Oryzias latipes: one gene and its partners. The protein of the gene in region 3 purifies or fractionates together with the protein of the main gene of each other region. This does not show direct contact. Links are inferred from orthologs where the notes say so. Each region holds a gene or a part of one and is shown on either strand. Other genes may lie near its edges.

Region 1 (3,647 bases), on a different chromosome or scaffold from region 3:
GCTATGTGGTTGAGGTTTGTGAGGCTGGAAATGAACAAGAAATACAGGGATTTTGGGGAAAATGAGGAATCGATTTATACATATCAATTAACCCTTGAGCTATCTTAGATGACCCCCCCCCTTACATTGACGTGTTCTCCCTACCATGACAAAGGTGGATAGATTTCATGTAATCCATGGACACCAGTGAAGATCACAAATCATTGAAGAAAAAAGGTTCAGAGCACTGTCTAGTGGGTCTAGATGACCCAACTCCCAATGGTAAAGTGTCTAGGATAGCACAAGGGTTACATGTACAGAACAGATTAGTGGACACACATTTGTTTTATTATTAGTTGCTCATAATGGAGCGGATGATGACGTGTCTCACATGCTTCCTCTGACCGCACGTGTCTGATTGAAAAGTATTTTAATGAGGAATAAAAACCACAGAACCGACTCCAAACCCGCCCAAATCATGTCACCTGGCAACACTTCACCCACCTCCTCACAGGCTGGACCAGCTTGCTCCGGGGCACGGGGAGGCCTCCTCCTCCTCCTCCTGTTGAAGCGCTGGGTCTGGGCAGGCCGCTGCGCGGGGCTGCCAGGGAGCGGGTGGGGGTGGAGGTGGCCGAGTTGGGCATGGATGTGGCTTTGAGCGGCTGCTTCAGAGCCAGCGGCGATAAGGTGGCGGGACTTCTCAGCTTACTGGGAGAAAGGACTGCAGAGAGGCAGAACAGCAGTTTAACTGGAGCCCATACCATAATACTTCCTCCTTCATACTTTAGAAAAAATGATCTGCAAATGGAGCGAAAGCTGACGATGCGCCTGTTTGAACCACAAATGAGCACAGAAGCATGAAAGGTAAACCAAAACAAAGATGTCCGCCCGCTGAAACATGTGGTGCTGATAAAATAATGTGAACCAGAGCGTCAACACAACCAACAGCCAGACATCAACACAACCAACAGCCAGACATCAACACAACCAACAGCCAGACATCAACGCAACCAACAGCCAGACATCAACGCAACCAACAGCCAGACATCAACGCAACCAACAGCCACACATCAACGCAACCAACAGCCAGACATCAACGCAACCAACAGCCACACATCAACGCAACCAACAGCCAGACATCAACGCAACCAACAGCCAGACATCAACGCAACCAACAGCCAGACATCAACACAACCATCAGCCAGACATCAACACAACCATCAGCCAGACATCAACGCAACCATCAGCCACACATCAACGCAACCAACAGCCACACATCAACACAACCAACAGCCAGACATCAACGCAACCAACAGCCAGACATCAACGCAACCATCAGCCAGACATCAACACAACCATCAGCCAGACATCAACACAACCATCAGCCAGACATCAACACAACCAACAGCCACACATCAACACAACCAACAGCCAGACATCAACACAACCAACAGCCACACATCAACACAACCAACAGCCAGACATCAACACAACCAACAGCCAGACATCAACACAACCATCAGCCACACATCAACACAACCATCAGCCAGACATCAACACAACCAACAGCCAGACATCAACACAACCAACAGCCAGACATCAACACAACCATCAGCCACACATCAACACAACCAACAGCCAGACATCAACACAACCAACAGCCAGACATCAACACAACCAACAGCCAGACATCAACACAACCATCAGCCAGACATCAACACAACCATCAGCCAGACATCAACACAACCAACAGCCAGACATCAACACAACCATCAGCCACACATCAACACAACCAACAGCCAGACATCAACACAACCAACAGCCACACATCAACACAACCAACAGCCAGACACCAACACAACCAACAGCCAGACACCAACACAACCAACAGCCAGACACCAACACAACCATCAGCCACACATCAACACAACCAACAGCCACACATCAACACAACCAACAGCCAGACATCAACACAACCAACAGCCAGACATCAACACAACCAACAGCCAGACATCAACACAACCATCAGCCACACATCAACACAACCAACAGCCAGACATCAACACAACCAACAGCCAGACACCAACACAACCAACAGCCAGACATCAACACAACCAACAGCCACACATCAACACAACCAACAGCCAGACATCAACACAACCAACAGCCAGACATCAACACAACCAACAGCCAGACATCAACACAACCAACAGCCACACATCAACACAACCAACAGCCACACATCAACACAACCATCAGCCACACATCAACACAACCAACAGCCACACATCAACACAACCAACAGCCAGACATCAACACAACCAACAGCCACACATCAACACAACCAACAGCCACACATCAACACAACCATCAGCCACACATCAACACAACCAACAGCCACACATCAACACAACCAACAGCCACACATAAACACAACCATCAGCCACACATCAACACAACCAACAGCCACACATCAACACAACCAACAGCCACACATCAACACAACCATCAGCCACACATCAACACAACCATCAGCCACACATCAACACAACCAACAGCCAGACATCAACACAACCAACAGCCAGACATCAACACAACCAACAGCCAGACACCAACACAACCATCAGCCACACATCAACACAACCAACAGCCAGACATCAACACAACCATCAGCCACACATCAACACAACCAACAGCCAGACATCAACACAACCAACAGCCAGACATCAACACAACCAACAGCCAGACATCAACACAACCAACAGCCACACATCAACACAACCAACAGCCAGACATCAACACAACCAACAGCCAGACATCAACACAACCAACAGCCAGACATCAACACAACCATCAGCCACACATCAACACAACCAACAGCCAGACATCAACACACCCAACAGCCAGACACCAACACAACCAACAGCCAGACATCAACACAACCAACAGCCACACATCAACACAACCAACAGCCAGACATCAACACAACCAACAGCCAGACATCAACACAACCAACAGCCAGACATCAACACAACCAACAGCCACACATCAACACAACCAACAGCCACACATCAACACAACCATCAGCCACACATCAACACAACCAACAGCCACACATCAACACAACCAACAGCCAGACATCAACACAACCAACAGCCACACATCAACACAACCAACAGCCACACATCAACACAACCATCAGCCACACATCAACACAACCAACAGCCACACATCAACACAACCAACAGCCACACATAAACACAACCATCAGCCACACATCAACACAACCAACAGCCACACATCAACACAACCAACAGCCACACATCAACACAACCATCAGCCACACATCAACACAACCATCAGCCACACATCAACACAACCAACAGCCAGACATCAACACAACCAACAGCCAGACATCAACACAACCAACAGCCAGACACCAACACAACCATCAGCCACACATCAACACAACCAACAGCCAGACATCAACACAACCATCAGCCACACATCAACACAACCAACAGCCAGACATCAACACAACCAACAGCCAGACATCAACACAACCAACAGCCAGACATCAACACAACCAACAGCCACACATCAACACAACCAACAGCCACACATCAACACAACCAACAGCCAGACATCAACACAACCATCAGCCACAC
Region 2 (4,134 bases), on a different chromosome or scaffold from region 3:
CTAAACTTCTTTGGAGGCTTTGGTTTAACCTCGCTGCCATCACCAAAACTAAACTCCAGTTTGACTGCTCCTTCTTTGACTAGAGCACTGACCGGCTCAGGTGCAAGTAGCGATGGCTTGGCTGTACTAGCCGATACAGGAGCCACTGCAGCTATGGGTTTTGCCTCAGGGTGGACAGCCGCCTCCTGGGGAACCTCCACTACACAAACCACTGCTGCAGGTTTGTTTGTTTCTGCAGGTGCGCCATCATCTGGCACCTTTCTCCCAAGAACAGGTGAATTCTGAATCTTAGAACCCCCAATCTGAAAAGGGTTGATAGCATCAAGGTTTTCAAAATCGAAATTATAAGAACCTTTGGCTGGAAGTGGAGCGTCCTCTTCAAAAGTGTTCCCGGGTTTGTTCAGATCAGAGTTTGCAGGCACGTTAGCAGCTCGATCTTCATCAAATGAGGCCGCGCAGGCATCCTGCCCTTCAACCGTCTCGTTCATAGTCACGATGACCACACTGCTGTCTGTGGAGCTGATGTTGACATCAGCAAGGGAGTTATCCACGGATGGTATGAAAGGAAGTGTGTCATCTTGTCTCAGATCTTCAACATTTGGCTCCTCTTGGATATTCTCGGGTGGATGGTCCACAACAGGCTTCGCAGGGGAGAGGAGGATCATGTTAGACCCCTGAAACGGATTAATCGCATCTAGGTTGTCATAATCCAACTGGTAGCCGCCTTTGCACTGAATGGGCATGTCATCATCAGGATAGGATGACAGGTCTGTCAAAAAAAGAAAAGGTCTGTTAACCTCACTGCAAGAACAGAGACTAAACTGAAGGAAATAACTTAATAGAAGATAAAAGAACCTTGTGGTGGCTGCAAAGCACGTTCCATTGATAAAGTACTGCCAAAAGAAACAACAGGCTTGCTTACATCAGTGCAACAATTATTCATTTAGAGACACGCTGGGATCCAAGACAGTCACTTACTCTGACGTATCCACATTTAAGAACTCATCCACGTTTGAGATAGTGGCACATTTGTTGGGGGACAGAATTCTTTTGGTTAACGGGTCTCTTCGTGGGGTCTGAAAACAAACCTGAGCACAGAAATTGAGTCAACTATAATAGAGATTGTCATCTTGTAGTGAAACGTATACACAAACTAGATCAGTCTGTACCTTTATCCCCTTTGGCAGACCCTTGTTGGGCAGGTTCTCCGTCTGACGCAGGATAGAAGGTCTCCCAGTAGGTTGATCAAGAGCAAAAATGTCTTGATTCAAGCTGTTAAGTTTCCCACCTGGGAAGACCCCGCAGTTCTCATCATTCACTTCAGAAAGACTCATCCTGCAAAAACAGAAAAACAAATGAACATGCAGTCTGCAGACAGGGGGGAAACATGAAAGCTGTACGCAGCTGATAAGACACTGTAGATGTGGAAGTGATGCACACAACCAGATGTTTTTACCAGAATAAGGGCATGTGCAAGTTAGACTGCATACTTTGGCTTAAAATGATCATTGGTTGCAATTAGAAACATTGATTTGTGTAAAAACACCAGTGTCAACTGGATACAATGGTGTACATCAAGTCATGAAGTTAATTGAAATTTTAATCAACTTCAAGTAAATGGGACCTTTTTTCTAAATATTTATATCAATATTACATGTCCCTGTTGTAATAGCATTAAACCTAACTTAAATAATTAACAAGAAACATTGAAAATTTTAAGAAATAACGATAGTTAAATTAAGTGAATTAAAACACTGTCATTTGTAAAAGCTGCCACAGTGCAAAGTAACACTTAAGATTGTGTTCATAAAAAATTAAAATACCAATAAAATCATTAAAAACTATGGGTAAAAAAAAATGTGACAAAACATATTTAGAAAATACAAGAAAACAAATGACGAAACATCTCAAAGTAACTTGTAAAATAAATGAGCATCTACAAAAAAAAAAAAAAAAAAAAAGGTACACACATTGTTAAAAATATTACTGTTTTTTGTTTTTTCGGTCTTATATGTGTGTTAGATATTAACAATTGTTTATTGTGCAAGTGACTGTGAATGTCTGTAAATTGAAAAATGTACAATAAAAAATAAATAAATAAATAACACTAAGTAGTATCGTGTTTAACCACTAGAGGGCGGTAATGTTAATTTTGCAATAGGTCTTCTCAGGTCGAGGCCACATCACAACATTGAGTTTCAATTTTAAAACCCCACAACCCGTTTACGAGATATTATACATTACACTAGCATGATGTGCAAATACACAAGAATAAATACATATACGATGATGATAACTGCAGTTGTTATTACTATTACAATTTGACGGAGTTTGAAGGATAATTAGTTATTGCTGAAGTCAATAAGAAAATCTAAAATGTGGTCAGAGAAGTGTAAATACGAACACAGAAAAACAGAAAGATTTCATTTTAATTAGTGTGTGACTACATGCGGCCTGTAGTCCGAAACATCCAACGGATGTTAACAGAAAGAAAAGCAGCCATACATTTTATGCAAGTGAACGTAAAAATATTAACATTTCGTTAGATTGTTTATGTCTTATATTTTATGATTAAACTTTACTAAACCTGATGAAAGATAAACATTTGAAAAAGCCAAGAACTACCGTTGGCCAACGCCGGTTTAGCTAGTAAAAGGATATGAATAACAATTCAACAAACTCTGAGAAAAGCTATCTAATGCCGTGACAGAAATTCTTTATTCCACCTACCTCACAATAAAAGGCTGTTTTTTAAAATTACAATCTCTTTCACGCAGACATTCAGTTGTAGACCTGTCTGGATTTGCTTTTGGAAAAACCCTCACCAGCTTTTTCTGGGCTTCAGCCGTTTGGAATTGAAAAGTCTCCGAACGCACCAATAACGTGGTTTAAAGTGTTCAAACAGACGCTCTTCCTGGTCGAGTAACCAATCAGATCAAAGACCGGAAATGACGCAAAGTGGATTTTCATTTTAGGAGTAGCAGAGCACCAAGTTTAAAACTCCGTAGATATAAAAACACATACTATAATGTGATTTTATAGTATTGTGCTGCAAGAAATTTATCATCTAAACATTTTTTTAATTTCTAAAGCTTAACGTTTGGTGGCAAAATAAGTTACTCACAGTACAGATTTGCTACGCATTTAAGACCTCATAAAAGAGACCTAAAAAACTAAAATAAAAGACCAGGCTAAGACACAATATCCCATTTATTTAGAAAAAAAACTCTTTAAAAATATTGTCAAACTTTTGTTTTCAAAGAGTTGGGGTGTAGCAATATGCATTACTTCTCATACAAAATATAGACCGAATTTTAAAATTAAAGCTGTTTAAGACCCACGCTTTTAAATCTAGCTGCTTAATATACGACTTGGTAACACTTTAGTTCAAAGGTTGCAGGAGTAACTTATTATTTTTGTGTGTGCCTGTGCTGTTAAAAATAATTACCCTTTTACACCAACACTACCATTAGGGGGCGAACCAGCACCTTTTACGATGGTTGCCACCCAACGTAAAAGCCGAGGAAGACTGATTGGATAAACCCGCCAGATTTGCCGAGTGTAAACAGTGCCGGATGTTCTTTTTTCTTTTTAATCCACACGCCATTGGGATGTTTTTAACTTTTTAACGGTTGCTACGCCAATCTATAACAATGACTTCCAACGGAAGAGGTACCTTTTTTTTTACTTGGTTTAGGATTTGTTATGCTTCCATTTAAATCCGACGCCATCGTTAGCTAAGCTTTTCATGATGTTCTTTACTACACGGTAATGATGGGAGGTTCAGAAAGAAATAAGCTGTAAAGTTACGCATTTCTAACAAGATTACTTAACTCTAAACGATGGTTCGACTTTAAAATTGGTTGAAATGTTTTTAAAATTGGTTAAAATTGGTTTTCTTGAGCACCGCAAGAAGAAGATTGATCTGTTTATTATTATTTTGTAAACAGGATTTGGAGAATCATCCCTCCATTGTGCCAGGTAGGTGGTACATTTTATTACTGTTGTGGACACAAACACACACATAATACACACTTTGTTGTTGTGTTTGCTAGTAAAACCAACTTGGTTAACCCCAGGTTTTCATTTTTATGTTTCCCTTGTTTTACTTTACTTGTCATATTTGCTGTGTTA
Region 3 (3,647 bases):
AGCTTCATGTGCTGCAGAGAAAGACAATACATTGTAATATCAAGGTTTGGAATAAAATGATTTTAAATGGAATAAACCTGGAGGCATAATGGGAAACAGATCTACAGTATGTTATTTGATAAATGTTACTCTATAGAGTAGGATTACTCTATGCCCACCCTTTTTTCCTTTTTTTTTTAAACATTTCATTTTGCGTCGAGCTCCAAAAGGGATAGATGTATGCACCAAGGTGACTTTGAATTCAACCTTTAAAGTTAACCACTTCTACCATATCTTCAGTCAAAAATGCTATATTTGAACTACTCCAACACTACACAGTAAGAGTACACAAATCTTTGTGAGGAGATGGGGTTTGCCATGTGAATTATTATTTTTGTGGTAATGCATAATTGGAACAGATGAGACATTTTATTTTGAAAACAGAAAGCAGCGACAATCGTGTTTCATGCTCTGCTGTATGACATTTGGCAATCGCCTAATATTTATCACTGATTTTTACACATGCATAAGCTAAAGACGATTTGATTTGAAGTGGTTTAAAAATATTTCTGGAGATGTTTGCTGGCGCAACATTTTCTGATTATACTATTAATAATTAATATCCATTGTGTGATTTAGAATATTTGAGAAGTGCTTCACTCTGGTTCATCATTTTGTCATGTTCTTATATATTTTAATCTTTGCATGTTTGTTAAGATGATTATTTTCTTGCATGTTCTTAATTTTGATATTAAATGGCCTTAAATGGGTCTTTAATCATTTCCGTAAATCTGTAGAGACCCGATTGTCTATAAGGCCTATGCCCTTGTTTTAGACGACTCTGCAGAACCTGTCAGAGGACATCCTGGCTGTGATGGACAACAAGAACCCGTCTATTAAGCAGCAGGCCTCCCTGTTTCTGGCCCGCTCCTTCAGGCACTGCTCGCAAGCCACTCTGCCCAAGAGTGTCCTCAAGCCTTTCTGTGCTGCTCTCATCAAGGTAAATGTCCTGCACGATTCATTTTGTTCCTTTTTGAATAAGAAATCACTATGAAATGGCTTGTCACTTAAAAGAGAAGAAAACTAACTTTTGTTTTTCCTTCAAACCATCCCAGCAAGTAAATGACTCCGCCCCTGAGGTCCGAGACGCCGCCTTTGAAGCTCTGGGGACAGTCATGAAGGTGGTGGGAGAGAAGGCGGTGAACCCCTTCCTGGCTGATTTGGATAAACTTAAACTGGATAAGGTGAGGTTCATTGCAGCAGAGACTGTTTGTTGTATTTGTAACCTTCCAACGGTGGGTTTTGTCTAACAGATAAAGGAGAGCGCTGATAAAGTAGAGCTTCCTGGGGGGAAGAAGGGTGCTGGAGGAGCACCGGTGGAAAAGAAACCTGCAGCTAAAGCCGCCCCTCCTCCTGAGGCTCCAAAAACTTCTGCTCCAACTAAGAAAGCTTCTGGTGCAGCAGCCAGCAAGGTATGGACAGACTTAGAAAACAACACATCCAGATTGTTGGAAACCTGCTGCTCTGAACTTTAGATCATGCAACTTATTTTTTCTCCAGCCATCAGCTGGTCCACCCAAAAAAGGCAAACCAGCTTCTGGAGGAAAAGCAAAGAAAGTGGCATCTGATGTCAAAGAGGTCACGGAGGCTGAGCTATCGGTGAGTCTGTGTGGAATTTCAACTCACCGGAGCAGAATACGTTAAAAGATAAATCAGCGGAGAGCTCTGAGTTTATTTCTGTTCAACAGATGAAAGGGGTTTTTGATGAGAACCACAATCATTATCAATAAATACCATAGTATCTGAAGGATACTATAGTAATCCAGTACGTGATCCTCCGCGATGACTGGAGGAACTTTGTATTATTGTCTTGATGAAAATAAGAAAAACTGCATAAGCCCATGGAGCTGGAATGATTGGGCGATGTGATATGGCGGCACCCACTGCGACTCTCCATCTGCCGGGCACCAGACTGCTGGTGGGCTGGCATAGCGAGCTCCGCTGCCCAGGGACCAGCACCTAGGTTGACATCACCAGCCGTCTCTGCCAAACCCTGGGTGGTAGTGCATGTTTGCTCTGCCGAACCCTGGGCAGTGGAGCTTGCTAGATAGTTATGCTGTCCTCCGTACGGCTGGCTAGCACACCGGGCGATCACTCCAGCTCCGTGGCCTTATGATATTTTACTTATTTTCATCAAGACAGTAATAAAAAAATAATCTCCAGTTTTATTTTTCCTCTTTCGGGTAAATGCTTAAAGTGGGCCACAGACGGATGAAAGGAACTTTTAAAACTGCTGTAACCCAGGTCCAATTCCCAGTGCTGAAGTGCAGTGCACCGGAAGCAACTCTAAATGATCTTGTGAGCCTCTTTAGAGCTCTCCAAAACATATAAACCCAATCATCCATGGTTTCCATGAGTTGGCGGTTGCTCTGAGGCAGCGGCGTCAAGGACGGGGTTCGAGCAGTAAATTTGACCTGTGTCAAGAAAGAGGCGGCAGGCGCGAAGCGCGCCTTGTGTGAATGCAGCACAACAGTCTGCACTGCAGCGCTGCATCTGTGCTTTCACACACGCTGAAATATATGTGTACTTCACTGCACATCACCTTGACGACGCTTTTGTTTTTTTCAGAGCATTGTACTCATTACTCTTATCCATCGGTTCACTGGGTCGTTGTTAATGGCGAATTTGCTAGAAATGTGCTTGTTAAACTACATGCTGTGTGTCAGGATGGGGTGTGTGAGGAGCTGGCTGCTGGGGTCCTTCCTGAAAACTGTCTGCAAGCTCTGGATTCAGCAAACTGGAAGGAGAGACTGGCCAGCATGGAGGAGTTTCAGAAGGTAAAGTCCTCATTCTGTTGCAGTCCCAGGAATTGGCATGTGAGAACAACATTCAGTGGCCAAATGTGTTCTTGCAGGCTGTGGAGACCATGGATACGGTGACAATGCCGTGCCAGGCTCTGGTCAGGATGTTGGCTAAAAAACCAGGCTGGAAAGAGACAAACTTTCAGGTAACTGTCTCTACCCTCAGAAGATGAATTCCTTTATAAGACAAAACTGGTAATAAAATTAGTTCTTTTCTTAATACTTTCTGTGTTTTCTTTAGCTTTAAACATTAGTGGATCAGTTTAACCAAAAATACCTTTTCATCATTTAAGAAGGAACACAGCACCTAAGAGTGCATTATTCTCATCCTCATTTCCATTTTTAAATGCCATTCCAGCATGAATATTTTTGCCAAAGCTGATCTGTTTTGTATTCAGGCATGTTGATGCTCTTATTCTCTAATGTGGTGAGACAGAACTGGTGGTTGTAGTAAGGGACATTCAAAGCACCAACCTCTTGCTGTGACCTTGTGCAGGTGATGCAGATGAAGCTGCATATTGTGGCCCTCGTCGCTCAGAGGGGCCAGTTCTCCAAGACCTCTGCCAGCGTAGTTTTGGAAGGGTTGGTGGATAAGGTCGGAGATGTCAAGTGTGGCGGAAACGCAAAGGAGGGGCTGACGGCGATTGGAGAGGCCTGCTCACTTCCATGGACGGCTGAACAGGTCCGAATAGATGCTGGGAAAACTCACCATGATGCTGCATTAAAGGTTTTAACTTTTGATTGTTTTGTTTTGTGCTTCAGCTTGTTTCTTTAGCATTTGCACAGAAGAACCCAAAAAACCAGGCA

The links.
Region 1: the proteins of ckap5 (region 3) and slain2 purify together in Homo sapiens (affinity purification with mass spectrometry; 4 studies listed by BioGRID and IntAct, counting the BioPlex papers as one, with this or other methods). This does not show direct contact. The link is inferred for Oryzias latipes from reciprocal best matches to the Homo sapiens genes CKAP5 and SLAIN2.
Region 2: the proteins of ckap5 (region 3) and tacc3 purify together in Homo sapiens (co-immunoprecipitation; 5 studies listed by BioGRID and IntAct, with this or other methods). This does not show direct contact. The link is inferred for Oryzias latipes from reciprocal best matches to the Homo sapiens genes CKAP5 and TACC3.

The regions. Positions count from the first base shown.
Region 1 is NC_019862.2:1,207,972-1,211,618, reverse strand, and holds part of slain2 (SLAIN motif-containing protein 2), read right to left. Parts: intron 701-3,647; coding exon 484-700; intron 1-483.
Region 2 is NC_019880.2:12,228,424-12,232,557, reverse strand, and holds the start of tacc3 (transforming acidic coiled-coil-containing protein 3), read right to left. Parts: upstream 2,933-4,134; 5' UTR 2,731-2,932; intron 1,336-2,730; 5' UTR 1,335-1,335; coding exon 1,170-1,334; intron 1,089-1,169; coding exon 979-1,088; intron 894-978; coding exon 856-893; intron 770-855; coding exon 1-769. Other genes in the region: kinesin-like protein KIF15, read left to right, coding at 3,654-3,672, 3,951-3,981. UniProt on the Homo sapiens protein: Plays a role in the microtubule-dependent coupling of the nucleus and the centrosome. Involved in the processes that regulate centrosome-mediated interkinetic nuclear migration (INM) of neural progenitors.
Region 3 is NC_019864.2:27,061,241-27,064,887, forward strand, and holds part of ckap5 (cytoskeleton-associated protein 5), read left to right. Parts: intron 1-814; coding exon 815-979; intron 980-1,094; coding exon 1,095-1,223; intron 1,224-1,292; coding exon 1,293-1,451; intron 1,452-1,539; coding exon 1,540-1,638; intron 1,639-2,705; coding exon 2,706-2,816; intron 2,817-2,893; coding exon 2,894-2,986; intron 2,987-3,336; coding exon 3,337-3,522; intron 3,523-3,602; coding exon 3,603-3,647. UniProt on the Homo sapiens protein: Binds to the plus end of microtubules and regulates microtubule dynamics and microtubule organization. Acts as a processive microtubule polymerase. Promotes cytoplasmic microtubule nucleation and elongation. Plays a major role in organizing spindle poles.